2 linked regions of the Tamandua tetradactyla genome follow. The protein of the gene in region 1 interacts with the protein of each later gene in a pairwise test. Links are inferred from orthologs where the notes say so. Each region holds a gene or a part of one and is shown on either strand. Other genes may lie near its edges.

What was found.
Region 2: the proteins of CTNNAL1 (region 1) and RNF135 interact in binary tests that used the Homo sapiens proteins (3 or more experiments, as listed by UniProt). The two-hybrid records come from large-scale screens. The link is inferred for Tamandua tetradactyla from reciprocal best matches to the Homo sapiens genes CTNNAL1 and RNF135.

Annotation. Positions count from the first base shown.
Region 1 is NC_135328.1:27,925,956-27,936,480, forward strand, and holds the start of CTNNAL1 (alpha-catulin), read right to left. Parts: upstream 4,507-10,525; 5' UTR 4,427-4,506; coding exon 4,289-4,426; intron 1-4,288. Other genes in the region: TMEM245 (transmembrane protein 245), read right to left, coding at 10,364-10,409. UniProt on the Homo sapiens protein: May modulate the Rho pathway signaling by providing a scaffold for the Lbc Rho guanine nucleotide exchange factor (ARHGEF1).
Region 2 is NC_135332.1:49,196,133-49,205,617, forward strand, and holds the start of RNF135 (E3 ubiquitin-protein ligase RNF135), read right to left. Parts: upstream 4,777-9,485; 5' UTR 4,752-4,776; coding exon 4,389-4,751; intron 2,792-4,388; coding exon 2,662-2,791; intron 1,017-2,661; coding exon of another isoform or gene 971-1,016; coding exon 854-970; intron 1-853.

The sequences.
Region 1 (10,525 bases):
GCATCTTTTCAAATAGCTTTGGCCATCTGTTTCTTCTTCTGTGAGATGACTATTTCCTTTATTGGTTTTTAAGGAGTAATTTTTTAATTCATAGGAGTCCTTTATTTATTCTGGGTAAGACTAATCTTTTGTTGGTTATTTGTGTTGCAATGACTTTCTCCCAGGACGGCTTATCTTTTCCCTTGTACTGCATCTTTTGATGAACAGAGGTTCTTTATTATAATGGACTCAAATGCATCGATCTTTCTTTAGAATTCACACATTTTGTGTATTAAATCCTTTCCCACTATGAGGTCATGCAGATATTGCCCTATTTTCCCCCTAAAACTGTTGTACTTTCATATTCTTTAATCCATCTGGAATTGATTTTTGTGTATGGTATAAGACAGGGATCCAGTTTCATGTATTTCTATTTATATAACTAATCGTCCCAGCCCCATTTTCTAAAAGAGTCCACTCTTTCCCCACTGACCTATCATGCCATATATTCTGCCATATATCAAGTTTTCATATACGTATAGATCTGTTTCTGGGGGCTCTATTCCATTTCACTTGTCGGTTTGCCCAATTCTATTCTTAAATCCAAATTGTCTTAGCTACTGCAGTTTTATAATAAGTCTTGAATTCTGGCAAGACAAGTCCACCCACTTTGTTTCTCCCCTAGCTAATCCTGGTTCTTTGTGCTTTCATATAAATTTCAGAATTACTTTTATCAAATTCTGCATATAAGTCCTATTGAAATTTTCACTGGAAATATTTTAAATGTATAGATCAATGAGGGAAAACTGATACAGCTATAATATTGAGACAGTCTAAGCATGAATACAGTGTTTCTCTCTACTTATTTAGGTATATTTTGGCTTTCAATAAAATTTTTAAATTTTTTCCAAGAAGTCTGGAATCTTTTTGATGGATTCATATATATATATATATATATATATATATATATACACTCCTAGGAACTTTATTTTTTGTTCTATTGTTATCGTAATTGGTACCTTTTTTAGGACTTTTTTTCTGCTTGTTATTAATGTATAGAAATGCAGTTGACTTTAGTATACTACATTCAGTAAACTTGCAAAACACTCCTAAATTTGGTATTTTATTTGATTCTCTCAGCTTTTCTATGTAGATAATTATATCACAATGGGAGTTTTGAATTTTCTTTCCCATCTTTACACCTCTCCTTTTTATCTCCTTGTCTCTTTGCACTGGCCAGGATTTTCAGTGCCATGTTGAATTGAAGCTGATAACAGTTATCATCCTTCTCTTGCTAGTTTTAAAAGAAATGCTTATTTAGGACAGGTTACAGTGGCTCAGCAGGCAGAATTCTTGCCTGCGATGCTGGAGAATTCAATTCCTGGTGCCTGCCCATGCAAGAAAACAAAACAAACAAACAAACGAAAAAACCCGCTTATTTTAAATTTGGCGGTTGCTATAATGTTAACTATAGCCATTCTTTTTTAGGTTAAGGAAGTTTCCTTCTATTGCTAGTTTGTTACATGCTTTCTATCATGATAAGAAGCTGGATTCAATCTAATGCTCTTCTAGCATTTACTGATATGAACAACCTTTTATTTTCTAATCTGTGAATTCAGAATATTGTGTATGTTTTTCTATTACGGACTCAACCTTGTATTTCTGGACTAAGTGCAGTAACCCAGGACTTTTCAGGTGGAAAATCAAAAGGGGTTAAATGATATCAGAATCGAAACTGTTTAAAACTCACTGAACAGTACAATGCTAATCCTACTTGTTTTCATTAAAACCCTGTTGCTGCCAGGGCACCATTCCTACCTCTTTCATGCCTTCTCTGAGCTCTTAGCGGATTTGTCACAAATGGTGTCCATTTGACACTTGGTATGTGCTCTCCTGTGCATGTCCCATACGCCAACTAGAATACAAGTCCCTCAAAGAGCAGCAACTAGTAAGTACACCATAAATGCGTGCTATTGATGCTTAAAATTTTTTTGTGGATAAGATGGTGAAATATGAATTGGATAATAACGCAGTGTCCTTAGAAAACGAGACATCTGGACATACAAGTTTTCTAGGGAGCTACAGTTTTAATCCATAAACACTACTGAAATTTTAAAATCATTCTAAATTGTACACCACACTTTTCTACTTTGTTAACAGAGTATTCTAAACAAGCTTTTTACTATTTATTGATTCTAAGTATAATTTAAGTTTTTCTCAATGATTACAGCCAACCATTAGGAATATCAGTTATGACATTGTGGTAGAGATATAGCTGCAATACATAACAGGTGGGATGAAGAGCCTCCACTGTGGCCCTGAAAGTGGTTTTAACAGGGAAAAAAAAAAGCTGAGATTTTCCTCCTTTGGCATTGACCTCTAGTTAACTCCCAGCAGTCACACTTTTCCTCCTCCATTCTCCTAATCTCCCCACCCTTTTTACCTCAGAATTACACAATGCAGAGCTGTTGGACTGATACATTTCTAGCAGCAATGCTGTTAAAGGATACCATTTCTCCAAAGTACAGCAACCTTCCAGTTTGTTTTTCCACTGTGAGCTCTTCCTCTGCTCTGTACCGAACATTCTCTGACCTAATCATGGCTTTTAATCTCTAGAGGGGACAAGGCATATAAAGTGGCAGGCTCTGGAGGCAGGTTGTCTGGGTTCACCCAGTTTGACACTAGCTGAAGACATCTGGCAAGTTACTTTGCCTCACTATTTCTCAGTCTCCTCATCCAAAGTATGGAATGAGCATATACCTACCTCATAGGATTGTTATGAGGATTAAATGAGTTAATATTTACAAAGCGCTCAGAATATGACCTGGCTTATAGTAAGCACTACATGTGCTTTGTTAAATAAGTGCAAAAACATACTATCGACGTGTACTCTGAGGTCATCTTCTCTTAAAATGGCTCCATTATTTTCATTTTTGGTTATGACTGCAATGGTGGTGGTGCTTTTGGGGGGGGTGGGGGGAGGACGGGATGGGAGGAAGAATGCGGGGTTGCATAGACATTACTGCCGCACCCCAGCCGTCCTTCCCTCTGGTCAGCGCCTCCATCAAACAAACAGGTAGGGGGTTTCAGTGGCTATTTATTCGCTGTTCCCTTAATTCATCTTAAATGAGACTTCTAGATATAGAAGTTTTCAGGAGAGCTACAGTTTTAATCCCCTAAACACCACTGGAACTTTAAAATCGAGATTGTATTCCACAATTTCCTACTTAGATAACAGAGTATTCTAACCATACTTTTTAAATGAGCACAGGTGAGAAAAATAAGGGGTGTTTATTTAATCCACATGGCAAGAGTTTAGAGACACAGGTGACAGCTGTTTCCAAGTATCTGCAGGGCTGTGCTGGGAAAGAGGTGCCATTTAAAGTTCTATGGAACAGGCCGACTCTCACAGCTACGGCCTCCCCACCATTGCAGGCGTCTGAGCAGGGGACTCATGTCCAGGTGTCAAGGATGCTGTGAGGAAGAATATTTATATTTAGAGTCTGATATAACCACTAAGATTCCTCCTACCTCTAAATTGGCAAAACCAGCATGAGTCATAAAGATGTTATGAATCTAGCCGTGAGTCACACGTCGCCAACGCGCTCCGGCAGGTACTTAATTCTTCACTCCCCCACAACGCTTGGCACCTTACCACAGATGGAGGTGAGGAATTCTAGCCCTCAGGCTGCGGATAACTCAGCTCGAAATAATCAAAACTTTTCTAAAACTAAGCCGATCGGTTAGCCGAGTGTAGACTCACACCCCAAAACGGGACTAGGCACAAAAATGTAGGTCTGCACCGACTCTGCGACAGTCCCCAGCTCCAAGTCTCCCGAGGGGCCGGACAAAGGCATGGAGGTGAGCGCGCCGGCAGGTGAAGGGGGCGCAGAGCGGGGCCGAGCTCTCAGCGGCGGGGCAAAGGGACAAAGGCCTGGCGGCGAGCACGCCGGGCGCGGAGGTCGGAGGAAGTGCCCCCCGCCCGAGGGGCCGACGGTGCGGTTTGCACTGGGGGTGTAAAAGGGCGGCCGCCGCCGCTCCCGGAGCTGCAAGTCGGAGCGCCCCGGGGCCATCTCCGCCCCCTGGCGCGCGCTCGGCGCGGGCCGCAGCACCAAGGCGGGTCACCGGGACGCGGGGACCAGCGCGCCCCCAACCCTCAGGCGGGCACCAGGTGCCACAGGGCTCCGCACCCGGGCCGCAGTCTCCCTGCGGCTCACCCAACTGGGGGCGCAGAATGCGCGGCTGCAGCTGCCTCCCGGCCGGCGGACCCCAACCCGAGCGTGCCAGCGGCGCCGCCATCGCACTTTACCTGAGAAACCAGCGGCAGCAGCGTCTGCTCCACCGAGCGAGTTTTGATCTCGAGTCCCGAGTCGAAGGCGAAGCCTGACGGGCCGGGGACGCGGAATGCTCCGGCTCGGCCAACGGCGGCGGGAGCGGAGGCGGCCATGGCCCTCGGCTCGTTGCACAGCCCCGACTCCGCGCCACCGCAGGCCCGCAGCCCGTAGCGCGCCAACCCGCCAGCAGCGGCGGCTGGGCACCCGCTCGGTTCCCGGGACCCCGCCCCCAGACGAGAATCACCGCCCCCCGAGGCTCCACCCCTCAATCGGGTCCCACCCCCAGCCGGGCCTGACCCGCAGCCCTGCGTCCTGCACCGCCACCGAGCCCCACCTCCCCAGTGGGGCTTGACTCCCCAGTCCTGTACTCTGCGCTGCAGCCAAGGATCTGTCCTCAGCAAGGCTTCCGGTCCTTGGGATGATAGGCGACTCATCCCAAGTGAACTCCAAATTCACGCAACGATTTCTAGAAGCTGCGCTGAGGTTGAAACTGGTAGAGCAGAACCAGGGTTAATTCTATCCAGAGGGGCATGTTCCTTGGGACTGGCTTTCTACTAGGAATAAAGTCTTTCCAAGGCTTCTCTGGAAGGTCCCATTTCCCCGTCCATCCTGCTTATTTTTAGAGCCACCGGTAATAAAGCAAATATTCTAACCATATCTTTGTCACAAACACTTTGAGCCGGGTTGAAGATAAACATTTACTAATGCAATCTTTACGAAGTATCTGAGTGGTTCGGCAAGAAGATATTTGGGGATTTTTCAGGTCCCTGTTTAGAATTATTCTTCAAAAGGAAATAAAATAGAGCATATGGAAAAGCTTCATCTGCTTTTGACCACCTGCCTTTTAAAACTACTTTGCAAATTACTTTTCCCCTAGTTCCTAGCACTGAGCAGTTTCCTAATAATATTAATTGAAGTTGGTGGGGAGTATGTTGGAATTCTCTGTATGGGGTTTGTATTACTTTTTTGCACCTGTCCTGTACATTTGAAATTATTTCAAAATAAAAGTTTGTTTTTTACTTTAAGTGCAGTTTCTTTATCCAACTTTCTTCTCTGATTCTTACTCTTCAGCTACCTACCTCACCACTTCCTTAACTACCTCCAAGGCCCCTTTCCCTTGTATAGTAAGGACTCCAGCCTCAGTCTTGGACCCCCTTTAAGCACTGTAAGGTTCCCAGCATCCACTCCCAAGACACACCTTTCCTTATGTAAGTTGACCATATTTCAAAAAACCTCAGTTGTGGGAACTGGTGCCAAAGAAAAGGCAAAACATAAGGCCCAGGACAGACAGATGAATTCATGAAAGTTCAGTTTCACTAAAGATCAAATTTCCCAACAGAAATAAGACTGTTTACCATGTGATTCATTCAACACTATTAATTTTATTTCAAAATATAAATATTTTACATTTACAAAGAAGTTACATCAGTGGGTTGTCAACGCAAGTTAAAGCTAAGAAACAGCATCTGTGTGAGAATAAGGAATATTTATTGTTTCATTTGAATATTCTTTTTACTTTCAAACCATCTCCACTTTGCCTGAGAATGCCAATCAATACAATTTCCAAAAGTAACAACAATTACAACTATATATATATATATCCCATCTTGATTTCAAAATCAAATGATATTTGCAAATACATTCTAGTCATCTAAATAAGTGGCACTGCGAAGGACAACAGAAGGGTTTTCTTTGGGTTAGCTACAGAAAGAGTTGCACTTTCTGGGCCATGGCAATAGAAAAGAAATGGTAGTTGATAATAAGTCAAAATAATGTTACTTTAAAATTTACTTCCACACCTTTCATTATATATAAAATATAAAGTTAGGAAAAAATAAAAAAGAGACTAGGTATGGAAGAGAGACTTCTGGACTTGGAGTCAGAAGTCCTACATATAAATTCTGGCTCCATCACTTTATGGTATAAACTTAAGGGGGGAAAAAAACATCACCAAAAAAACTTGAAAGCCTTCAGTGTATCCTTCTCATCTGTACAATGACAGAAATACTTAACGCCTGCCTGCCTCACAGGGTTGTTATGAAAGCAGTCTGAAAATTATTAAGTGCCATTAAAAACCATTATTAAAATGTAATATCAATGTACCATTACCGTATTTGCAAATTAATTGATCTTTGAAAAACTTACAAAACTAATCAAATACTGATTTTACACACCATAGGTGGAAAAGAATCTCTATACTGTAAAAGTATAGTGCTGAATTGCAAATATGCTCTCCTCTCTCAACTGTCTCACTAAACTCTGAGATTTACTAAAGATTACATGGTACCATGGTAACAGATTTTCTATTAAGTATTTCTATTGGGGATGTTTCTAAAAGGGCAGGGCGGGCCACAGTGGCTCAGTGGCAGAGTTCTCGCCTACCATTCCAGAGACCCAAGTTCAATTCCCAGTGCCTGCCCATGCAAAAAAAAAAAAAAAACCTAATTAAAAGGGCTGTGTAAACCCACTCTAGAGCCATGTTTCCCAAAGGACCAAAAATTGTTTGAGATGAGAAAAGGAGGAGGGGGGCGCAGTTTAAGGTCAAACAAGTCTAGTAAACACAGTCTTTGTCCCCTCTTACAAATTCACAGTAATAGCATGTTAAAAACTCTTAGAAGTCCTACAGAAAGGAAGCAAACTCAGCATTCCTCAATTTTAATTGACCATGGAGTACCTTTCCCACCCACCACCCACCCCACTTTTTACCTCTTATAACATCTGTAAGAATCCCTTGGAACTAGTGCAACTAGTTTCTTAAAAACTCAGTTTGCCAAATGCTGCTCAACTACCAGGAAAAGGGAAGAGAACAATGGACTGGGAGAAAAATAATTACATTCTACTTAGAATTCTGTTACTAACTGGCTGTGTGTTAGATAAGTCACTTTAACCCATGAATTTGTTTCCTTCTTCAGAAAATGACAGGATCATCTAATTATAGAAGGCTCTTTCCAGCTCAGAATTTCTGACTCCAGGAGGCAGACAATCATCTTAAATTTGATTTCTCTTGCTGATTTTTAAACTACTGAAAAATAACTGCTTAGTGGTTTCAAATACTATATGTATTTCTTGCAGGTCCTCAATATGTTAATGAAATGAATATATTTTGATGGCAATAAGTGTAAAGACAAGGCATTGATAAAAATAAAAGGTACTCATTCTTAACTGGAACTAGCATTTGGAAGTATATGGCCAGAGGCTATTTCTACTGTGAAATGTGCCTTCCAAGTCCCACCGAAATACTCCTGTAAGGGTCTCTGAAGACCTTTAACCAGGACTGAAAGGTGAGGTCTAGTCAGTTTACCTCAAACTACTTTTCTCTAATCTAACCTCTGATGGCCTGAATCTTTGAGTATTTCATTTCTTGCCCAGTGCTGACACATTCCTGAAGCACTAATACAACCAGGCAGAACTAGAGGAACAAAGAAATCCTGAGGGTCACATGGTGTCATGTTGAGACCATGGTTAGAGAAGACCTCATCTGCAAGCCCTTTAGCTGTCCTTTACCTGGAAAAAACAGCTGTCCCTTCCTAAGGCTACAGAGTTTTGAAATACATTGCTTCCATAACACTTCTTGTTATCCTCCCACTGTCAAGGGTCATATCACGCCAGTCTCTAAAATAAGGGGAGAACACTGCTAGCTAATCAACTTGCATGGAGAAGGGTACCAGGAACCCTTGCAATTTTAAAAAATAAGTAAGACCGGCATTTAAGGCAGTCTAACAGTGATCACTTCCATAACTGAGAGTATATTAAGAATTTTGGTACTCAAACAACAATTAAATTACATAGAGACTCTGCTGAAAATCCCATGCCCTGTTGTTTTTCAGAGAGAGATGTAGGGACACTTTCCCTAGCTAGTCAATATTCCCATTCCTGGCACTGCCACTGGAGTACTGGGCAGTTTAAGTTTCCTGACCTTTTTGTGGCACTCTGGGGCACTTCCGCTACTAATATTTCAGGGTGACATGGCATCAGTGCAGCTAATTTTGGCAGCTCTAAAGTAATCTCTTAGGGCTTGGAGTTCCCCTCTAAGAACCCAGTATCTGTACCAATAATTGTGCCCAGCAACAGATATACATGAGCTCAACTTTAGTTTCTTGCAATATCACTTTGACAGCTAAAAGCACTTTGGAGGAACATGGTTTTGATGTTCACACTAATTCACTGTGCACAATGTTTGCCTCTTATTAAAACATGCTCATTACTGCTATAAATTTATCAGTATACAATTAACAACAACAAAAAAACCTGATTTCTTTTTTAACCCTTTCAATAGCTTTTTAAAAATTTATTTATTTACTTAGCATTAAACACAATCAGGCTAATATTTTAGGTCTGAGAAGCCTTCTCATGAGTTATCCCCATAGAACCCTGCATAGTACCTGGCCTAGAACCTACAGTTCAGCCAATGAGAATAGAATGAATTACTCAGTAGCCAAATATTCACATGATGGAATGTCAGATTATAATTTCTGAAGAATTCATAATAAAAATAAGAGGTCTGCATGCAGTCTAGTAGATAAACCATCAAATGAGCTGTTTTCCAGATGGAAATGTTTTTATTAAGTAGTATCAGAACACATTTGAGCTCATTATTATCAACTGTACTTCTTAGAAAGAATGTGTTTTAGAAAAAAATATCTCTACTTTAAAATGTTTTGTCAAAAGGAAACCTGTACTCATACTTATGAACCCCTTTCTCCCCCATATTCCCTTAGGCTGAGGAAGGCCTGATGATTGCTTTATACAGTGGAAAGGACACAATGCTAAAAGCTGGATTTGAGTCTCAGCCCTGTCATTAATCATAGGACGTGCTTTAAATTCATTCATAAGAAATGGATAGCAACAGCTATTCTATCTCATAGCACTGGAAAAATTGCATAATATATTGAATAAGACTTGAGGTCCAATCTTACTAACATGACTTTAAGTTAATCACTTAACTTTTCTGATCCTTAGCCTATTTGTGTAAAACTGATTTTAAAATTAGGTGAAACTATATGAAAGCTGATAGGAAGGAATTGTGAAAAAACAGGCAAAAGGGCTTAGTAAAATGTGAAGCATTATGTTGTTTATTTTAATATCTAAGACATTGGAAAAGTTATAATTTAATTCAACAAGCATTCATTTAGTGTCTCATGTGCAGAGCACTGTGCTGTGTGATAGAAAAATTCAACAGAAATATAAAATTCTACTACCAATAAGTAACTAATTGGCAGGACTCCAAATATTGAAACAGAGATACATTTAATAAATTAGAGTACTATTACACCTGAGATTTTTCACTTAAAATATTTGGGGAGGAAAAAAACCTATAATCATAGCATGAATTCTATCATATTGTTAGCATTAATAGCAGCTTAATAAGTACTTTGCTTCAATGTGGGCAGCCAAGTTTTAGGAAGTTGGCAATGGTGTAATGGGAATAGAGGGAGAGTGGAGAGGAAAAGAGCTTCAGTCTTTGCGCCTTCTACAGTTACAACTGAACCTCCCTCTCCAATAAGCTATCCAATGACGAGATTTTTTTCTTAAAGAGGGGAAGATACAGAATGGGAGAAAGGGAGAAAATTCATTTTTCCTGTTCACACAGCTACACACTAGAAATGACTCTTCAATGAAAAGCGACTGTCATAGAAAAGTTTAAGAACAGATTTCTTAAACTGGAGAAAATTACATGGTATATACTTTTAACAGCAGGTAGTTCAGCGCTCTTAAAATAACCTTATAAATATATATAATAATATAGATAACCAAGGTGGAAAAATTTCAAGTCATGGTACCAGTGTATAAATTAAAACTTTTCAAGCCATCTTAGTAACACTGAAGTGAGAAAGCCACATATTTCAGAGCTCTAAGGCTGTGTTTTAAAATGAAAAGGAGCCCACAGCAAGTTCTCTCTTGTCCAGGCTTTATGAATGTAAGGCCAAGAGGCTTCTGCTTCTTTCCTGGGCTCTGCTTGATAGGCACCACCGAAAGGACAGAAAATCATAGCCGAGCTGAACTCACTGTCAGTTGAACTTCCTGGAGAAATCATACCAGTGGAAGTCACGTTAGTCCACTGAAGATTTCAGATCTTCGGAAATGTCACGGAAAGTCCTATAAGAAGAAAAGATGAAATGATCAGTTTTACTTTTGGAAAGCCAGGGGGACCATAGAGACACGTTAAAAATATAAAAAGATCTATCCAATTAATTATCAATCTTATTTTTATA
Region 2 (9,485 bases), on another chromosome or scaffold:
ATTGTTGAACTGTACCCATATAAGTAGTTAAAATTGGGAAATTTTTTGTTGTATATATGATACCACAATTTAAAATTTTTTAATTAAAAAAATACAGTCTAATTTTTTGAACAAATAGTCAACTCTTCTCTAATCATTTTTTCAGAAAATTTTGCCAAGGAATCATGTTTCTCTACTTAAATAAGGAACGATACTTTAAGCAGAGCAACCACATTTAAAAATAAAAATGCTCTAAGAGATGTATGTCTAAATTATGTAAATCTGGAAGTGGCGAGAGCAGGAGGCAGGGTCACGGAGCAGAGAGCTAATGTCTAATGAGCCAACTTTACTGCTTTTCAATCGTGATTCGGAGAGAACAACAAAAGAACCTACAAAGTCCAGATAGAAAGGTTCCATTCTCCTTTGTTACTGTTTAATGTTATTAATACACTCCCTAGAAATTCTATTTTAATAGATGTTATCGAGAACTATTTACAAAGTTGCATGTACGTTAATAAAGATATTTATGCATTAAAATTTTTAAATGGCTTAGTTCTGAATCTTCTCAGCAGAGATAATACAGATGAACAGTAAGATAACAAAATGAGGTCGAGGTTCTGCATTTATGGGGTCTTAGAAAATACAGCCAGGTTTTGAATTTATATCTACCAATGGCCCAAGATACACCACATCTATCGTATTCAAAAACATATCCAGCCACCAAAACACCAGCCTACTCCTACCTCATTTTCAACACCACAGTAACAAAGCCATGCTCTGAGATCCTGTCATCAAAGAACAAGGCTATGGAGCACTTTGCTCTTTCACCCAAACTTCCAGAATTAATCCTTCTCCACCAAATAAACCGACTCACCCTGTGTTTGTTCTTCAAGAGCCTCTTTCCACACGATGTTTTCTCGTAATTTCTTCTGGATTTCTTCTAGGGCATTAAGAATGTCTCTCATTTCACCTTCAGATGTTTTGGAAGGCACTGGTTTGGGAGGAGTCAAGGAAAGGTCCATCCCACAAGAAAAAGCCTATTGATCAATCATTAAAAAATAAATAAATGGAAGTCCCTGGTGGAATCCATCAAATATTATATTCAAGTTCTACCATCCACCTGCAATTTCCCATTTACCTCTTAACAAGTTTTTAATTAAGCCCTCAAAATGTGTGAATTGAAAACAATCTGGAATAATATATAGGACAGCAAAAATATCAAAGAATGGTTATTTCAGGATGGTGGGGTTATGATGACTTTATTTTTGTTCTTTAAACTGCTACATATTTTCTAATATTGTGTATAATGAACATAGATTCCTTAGGTAATGCCAAAAAGTGTTTAAAAATGTTTGGCCCATCTTTTGGGGGCTTTATAGTGGTCACTGAGATAAGATTCAGAGGCCAGAATAATAATATTTCCCAACTGTTGTTTTATCATGCCGCCTCTCGAGAGCTAATGTGAACATGTTGCCTACATTCAGACCCTGCTTTCCATTTTTCTTTACTGTTTTCTTTTAACTTCAGATCCAATTATCCCCCAGTATAGCTTCTCACCTGCTTCCCAACTTTGCATATACGACCCATTTCCCATTCTCTCCACCAATGACAGTAGTAGACATCACCTAGTCAGAGCTTTCCACATGCTAGGTACTGCTCATCTCTAATTTGCGTAACAATCTTATAAGGTAGATGAAATTATCCCCATTTTACAGAAGAAGCTGAGGTTCATGGAGGTTAGCTAAATCTTCTTATTTAATAATATCATCCTACATCTTCACATTGCTTATACAAGAATTCCTTTAATCCTTACGACAAATCCGTGAAGTGGCAGGCCATGTGTCATTCCTATTTTACAGGTAGGAACCTGACACGCAGAAGGATGAAGCGACTTGCCCAAGGTGATAATACTCATGAGTGGCAAAGTCACAGTCAGGTCTGAAAGTCAGACCCTCAGACTTTTCACCCTAACACACTGTATCCCTGAAGACCACCCAGTCATTCATCCATTCATTTAGTAGTTATTTGTCAGGTACCTACTATATGCCAAGCACTGTGTTAGGGCGCCTGGGGATATAATAGTGAAAAAAGAACAAAAGCGGTCAGGTCAAGGTCCCTTCCCTTGTGGAGTTTATATTCCAGTGGGTACAAAGTTATGCCTGGGATAATGGCTACAAATGAAAGGTACATGGAATCAGAAGGACTTCTGATGGGGAGATTTGACTTGTTCAAGGAAATCAGCAAAGGTTTGCCTGAGGAAGGGTGCTGAAGGACAAACAGATGTTACCCAGACAGGTTGTGAGACTTGCGTCCACAGACTAAAGGAAGAGAGAGCTTAGAGTGGGAAGGTGTGGGCTACTGTGTCAAATACTGAGATCAGTGAAGGTAAGGGCCAGGTTGCCTGTAGGATGTATCTGCAGGTCACTGGTGACCTCTGAGAAGCACCTTAAGTGGAATGATGAGGATGGAACCTAGACCACTTGAAGTTTCCCACCTTTACTTCAAGCATTCTGTATTTCCAACTGTCCATGTTTGCTAGTAATCGTTCCATGGTGAAAGATCAAGATACATTGCATCCTTCAACTGCAAACATATTCAGGTGTCCCAGTCAGAAATGACCTCTAGCCCCACCCCCTTGCACATCCTCTCCTCTCCCAGCTGAGAGGACAGTGCCTAGGATACGTGGTTCGTCGGCTGGCCCAGGTTCTGAGAGAGGGCTCTGGCTCTGAAGCCTCCTGACGATATGCACAAGCTGCTCCACCAGCTCTGCCAGCTCCAGACCAACGTCTGTGCTATTCTTCTGTGCTACCACCTTTAAGAGCAAAATCAGAACATACAACTGGACCCTGCACCAAGCACTTGACAGACGGAGCCATAAACACAGGATAAAGGAAGAGACGAAAGATGAAAGAACTATTGTACAGAACGTGAGGAGGGGAGCTCCCTAAACCTTTTGCATCCTGATTTCCCTCTACTGATCTTCCAGTGGCCTTAACAGGGTACCCTAGTTCATCCCAGGAATGGGGAATGAGAGCTAAGGAAAACCCACCAGTTATTTTGTGCAGAGGAGGATAGAGAGAACATAGGGTGCAGAGAGCCTGAAGATTTCGGAGGGCAGGCAGAGCCAATCAGGTGAGTGGTACAATGGAAGGCATTTGGCTCAGGCTGGAGCATCTGTGTCCTTCAAAAATGGTGACAATCCTGGCCTCTCCTCTTCCTTAGTGAAAAGGATCAGCCTAACTATTTCTTGTGAAAGCATCTTGGAGATTTTAAAGGGTTTCAAAGAGTTTCCCAGATGGAAGCTCTTTTAGTTTGTTTACTGACATCTCTGACATTTAAAGAAACACTCAGATAAGCATGCCAAATAACTCCACTTAAGAGCTTAATCTGCTCAGCTGACTGGTTGGGGATGGGAATAAGTTTCGCATCTGTCGAAGGCATCAAGACCTGGTGACACTCAGAAGCTGGGCCCCGACCTCAATGGAGAACTCTGTATCACCTCCAAAAGGGTCCTACACAGAGAATCACAGAAATACAAGAGGATGTTCATCATCTAACTCTAAATAAGCCAGAGTTTTTATAACTTCGTTTCGGCATTTTTCATTTTTAAAATTATGCTGGGACCTCAGAAACTGAAATCGACCCAGGACCTTTTTCATATCTAAGAAACCCTGATGACCTCAAAGGAGCAGGTGTTCTGGAAGCCATAATCAGGCTATTTTATAGAGAGAAGTGGCCAAGTATTGTCAAGGCTCTTCGCTCTTAAATTTCCAGGCTCAATCCTAAATATCAGGCATTTGAAACTCTGAGATGGAGCCCTTATGCAGGCACACGGACAAATTCACAACTTTTTGAAATAAGTGCATTCCTTATTTCATCCATAAAGAAATATACACACGTGGTGAATTTGGAAATTCAAATTCCAAAGAAAGCAAGAAAGGAGAAATGTTTTTTACATCATCTAATATCCTACCACCCAAAGACAATCACTTTAATTTAAAAGCCAAAGGGAAGTATATTCAGTCACTAAAATCTATGTTTACAGAGCTTTACAGGCCTGAGGGATAATACAGTATTTATGATGAAAAAGAAGAGGACAAATCCCGGTTGTACAATGCTATCTCAACTCTATTTTTTTTTTAATGAGCAAAAGCTGGAGAGTCGGGGAAACAGGCCAAAGTGTATGGCAGCTATTGTTGTGGTAGGATTGCTTTTCTTTTTCTGCTTCTTTATCCTTTTCTGAACTTTCCAAAGATTCTCCAACGAGTGGGTTCTATTTTAGATTGAGAAAAGTAATGTAAAAGTAGAAAGGATGGAAGAGTAACTCAAGAGGGGTAGTAGTGGCGAACCAAGTGGTCGGAAAGGTTGGAGCCAGAGAAGAGCTGCGGAATCCACCGCCCTACCCGCACCTGTGCGCGGTGGCTCGGGGACCCCGGGGCTGGGCCGGGTCCTGGAACTGGCTCAGGGCTGGGGGCCCGGCCGGGACCCGCCTCCAGCTCGCGCACGGCTCGGCTGTACTTGTCGGCCAGGTCCTGCAGCAGCGTGTTCTTCCCCAGCCGCGGCTGCTGCGCCGCGCCCTGGCGGCAGGTGGGGCAGGACCAGCGGCGCCCCGCGCCCGACGCGCCCCACAGGCCGTCCAGGCAGGCGCGGCAGAAGCTGTGGCCGCAGGGCAGCGTAGCGGGACAGTTGAGGAGACCGTGGCAGATGATGCAGCCCAGGTCGTCCTCGGTCAACCACACCGGGACAGCGGCAGCCGGGCCGAAGCCCGCCATGTTGACCCAGCCGCGGCTGGGACGCGAGGACGCGGAAGTCAGGGCTCAGCCGGGGACCGCCCCGCCCAAAGTCATTTCTCCGCTGGCTCCTCCCTCGCTCTTCCTCTCTCGTCTCCTTCCCCCTTGCGTGGTCTCCTTCTTGTTCCGGTCCTTCCGGTTTTCTTTTCTCGGCTTCTGCAGAAACCTACTTATTCCTTCGGGAGAGTTGAGCCTCAGTTACTGCCTCCTGCAATGGCAATTCAGCTCGTCCCCCACCGCTAGGAACCCAGTGATGTCCTCATTAAAATGCAATCCCGACAAATCTTGGGAGAAGAAAAAAGAGAATTTCGGATTCAAGAACTCAGTTTTGAGAATACGCCCACTAGGTGACATCCAGCGCCTCTAACGAGCAATAAGGGATTAAGGAATACCCGAAGCGCATCAAGTTGCAGCCCTTTAAAATTATCGATATTCAGGGCTCACCGGGACACTCTGATTTCAATCTCTGGGGTGGAGCCCCAGCATGGGTATTTTTAACCTCCCCCTCTTCCCCAAATTATTCAAGGTGCAGCTGGAACCACGAAAGTATTTAATGAGATACTAACCAAAAAAAAAAAAAAAGAGAGAGAGAGAGAGAGAACAAGGGAGGTGTCCATCCAAAGTGATCTTTTATTTTTTTTTAATTTTTATTGCTATGTATTCACATGTCATTTAAACATCCAAAGTGTAGAGTCAATGGTTCACAATATCATCATATAGCTGTGCATTTATCATCACAATTGACTTATTTTTTTGTGAAAAATAACATATATACAAAAAAGCAATAAATTTCAAAGCAACAATTAGTTGTAGAACAGATTTCAGAGTTTGTTTTGGGTTACCATGCCACTATTTCAGATTTTTCCTTCTAGCTGCTCCAAAACATTGAAGGTTAGAAGGAATATGTATTTTTCATTTTTGTGAAAAATAACATGTATAACAAAAAGCAATGGATTTCAAAGCACACTGCAACAATTAGTTGTTGAACTGATTTCAGAGTTTAGTATGAGTTACAATTCAACACTTCCAGGTTTTTAATTCTAGCTGCTCCGAGACACTGGAGGCTAAAAGAAATATCAATATGATTCCACAATCATACTCGTTTGTTAAACCCTACCTTCTCTGTGTAACTCCACCATCACCTTTGATTTTTCTCCCACTCTTTAGGGGTGTTTGGGCTATGCCTATTCTAGGACCCCACGGCTTTTTAAATCGCTGTTCCAGTGCAGATTGTGCTGTTGTCTCTTTATTGCTCCTTATTGCCCTCTGCTGGCTGAAAGCACGTTACCCAACAGTCATCCAGACTAACATAGAAAGTCTGTCTTGAGATATAGCACGCCTTGCCTCCCCCCCGCTCCTTTTATTCCGGTCCTAAACCTTTAGAACCAAAAACATTAGAGCTGGAAGAACATCATATCCTCACCCAAAGACGTGGAGTAGTTAAGGAACTTCCAAGCTTGCATAGCAATAACTGAAATAACTGAGTGGCAGAGGCCAGAATCCAGATTTCTTGGATATGGTGGAATGAACTAACAGTATTTTATGTTTTATTTTACGCCATCTTGCCTAGGCTCGAAGCAGGTACCAGATATACAAATTTGTGCCTATTTCAAATACCGGAAGTGGCATGTAGTAGTCAGTGCTGTTCATCAAAGTTTCCAACTCTTCCTTTCCTTAGGACATAGAAGGTTTGGCAGTTCTCTGACTTGTTTGAAACATACAGAAGTAATACATGTTACTTCTCATCAGCTTTAAAAGCTAATGAAGAAGTCATTGCATCCCTTTCAGGAGACTGCCATGAGTATGGCTAAGATGAGCAGAACTTCTGCCATCCCACATTAGGATATGTACTAAGAGAGAGAAATAAACTTGTGATGTGTTAAGCTTACTGAGAGCCATTGGCTGCTTGTTGCTGCAGCACAACCTAGCTACCCTGACTGACATTTTATCTGATTCTGTAAATTCACAGCTTGTCAGTATCTCTTTTCTTTCCTGTTAAGTAGGCATGATACCAAGCACTTAAACATGCTCGAATCTCTTCCATCTTAAAGATAAATCTCCTTTATGAAATAGAACAAATGTATGCCACTATTATAAGGAGTTAATAATATGGGGGGAAATGCACCTATTAAAAACTATGGGCCATAGTTAACAGTAATATTTTAATATACTTTCATCAACAGTAACAAAAGTAAAACACCAGTATTAGTGATCAATAATAGCAGGAAAAAGGGTATGGAGTGTTTGGGTATTTTGTGATAATGAAAATATTCTAAAATTGATTGTGGGCGATGAATGCACAACTATGTGATAATACTGTGAACCATTGATTGTCAATGTCCATTTGTGTCCCTGCTTTCAGTTCCTCTGAATATATACCTAGTAATAGGATTGCTGGATCATACGGCAGTTCTGCATTTAGTTTTCTGAGGAGCCACCAAATTGCCTTCCAGAACGGTTGCACCACTCTACATTTCCACCAACAGTAAATGAGTGTACTATTTCTCCACCTCCTCTCAGCACTTGTGATTTTTTGTTTGTTTGTTTTTTTAATGGCCATTTCCTGTAGGTGTGAGATGCTGTTGGAATGAAATATACCAGAAATGGATTGGCTTTCACAAAGGCGATTTATTAGCTTACAAATTTACAGTTCTAAGGCCATGAAAGTGTCCAAATTGGGACATCCAGAGAAAGATACCTTCATTTTGAAGAAAGATACCTTCACTTTGAAGAAAGATCACCAGTATCTAGAACACCTCTGTCAGTTGGGAAGGCGCATGACTGGCATCTGCTGCTCCTTGCTCCCAGTTCATTGCTTTCAGCTTCTGATTCCAGTGGCTTTCTCTCTAAGCGTCTGTGGGTTCTCACTTAGCTTCTCTGGGGCAGACTGTGGATTGCATCTCTTAATTTAGCATCTCCAAACATCTGTGTCTTGATTTCTTCTCTCTGCTCTCTGTGTCAGCTACCAGCAATCTCTATGTTTCTGCCTTTTATTCTCTTCATACAGAGCTCCAATAAAAGGATTAAGACCTGAATAGACAGGTCCCCATCTCCATCTAATCAAAAGATACCAACCACAATGGGATGAGTCATATTTTCATGGAAAAAATCTATTCAAAAGGTTCCACCCACCAATGGGTCTGCCCCAACAAGACTGGATTAAAAGAACATGGATTTTCTGAGGTACATAACAGCTTCGAACAAGCACAGATGATTTCTCATTGTTTTTTTTTTTTTTTAACTTTTTTTATTAATTAAAAAAATTAACAAACAAAACATCAAGATGTCATTCCATTCTACATATACAATCAGTAATTCTTAATATCATCGCATAGTTTCATATTCATCATTTCTTAGAATATTTGCATCGATTTAGAAAAAGAAATAAAAAGACAATAGAAAAAGAAATAAAATGATAACGGAGAAAAAAAAAAAAGGTTATACATACCGTACCCCTTACCCCTCGCTTTCATTTACCACTAGCATTTCAAACTAAATTTATTTTAACATTTGTTCCCCCTATTATTTATTTTTATTCCATGTGTTCTACTCTTCTGTTGATATAGTAGCTAAAAGGAGCATCAGACACAAGGTTTTCACATTCACAGAGTCTCATTGTGAAAGCTATATCATTGTTCAATCATCATCAAGAAACATGGCTACTGGAACACAGCTCTACATTTTCAGGCAGTTCCCTCCAGCCTCTCCATTACATCTTGAATAACAAGGTGATATCTACTCAATGCGTAAGAATAACCTCCAGGATAACCTCTTGACTCTGTTTGGAATCTCTCAGAATTTCTCCCCACTCTCACCATTCCCCGAAGGGGGCTTGCAAATACTTTTCCAGTAACTGATCAAATCACTCTGGGATTCATCGGGGCAGCACTCTGGACAAACCAACAAAATCTCATGTCCTACCTGAGATTCCAAGTACTTACGACATTCGATCAAACTATCTACATGAGTTATATTAGGAAACGCGCTAGTCAAAATATAAATTTTGTAACAAATAAACATTTTTTGCTTTAGTCTCACACATAAGGTGACATTTTAAAGTATTAATTATCATCTGTTTTCAGCACCCTGCAATAATGACATTCCTTTGTTCTTCCTCATGCAAAAACATTTTTAAAATTTGTACATTGTACATTCCACTATTATTATACACTCTAGGCATTCCTAGATTATACCATCTCAATCTTTACCATCTTTCTTTCTTTCTGATTTCATTTATGTCCCCAGCCCTCCTCCCTCTATCATTCTCACATGCAACTTCATTCAGTGTTTTAATATAATTACATTACAGTTAGGTAGTATTGTGCTGTCCATTTCTGCGTTTTTATAGTCAGTCCTGTTGCACAATCTTTATCCCTTCAGCTCCAATTACCCAATATCTCACCCTATTTCTGTCTCCTGATGGTCTCTGTTACCAAGGAAATATTCCAAGTTTATTCACGAATGTCAGTTCATATCAGTGAGACCACACAGTATTTGTCCTTTTGTTTCTGGCTAATCACACTCAGCATAATGTCCTTAAGGTCCATTCATGTTGTTACATACTTCATAACTTTATTCTGTCTTACAGCTGCATAATATTCCATCTTATGTAAATGTCACAGTTTGTTTAGTCAACTGTCTGTTGATGGACATTTTGGCTGTTTCCATCTCTTGGTAATTGTTAATAATGCTGCTATAAACATTGGTGTGTAAATG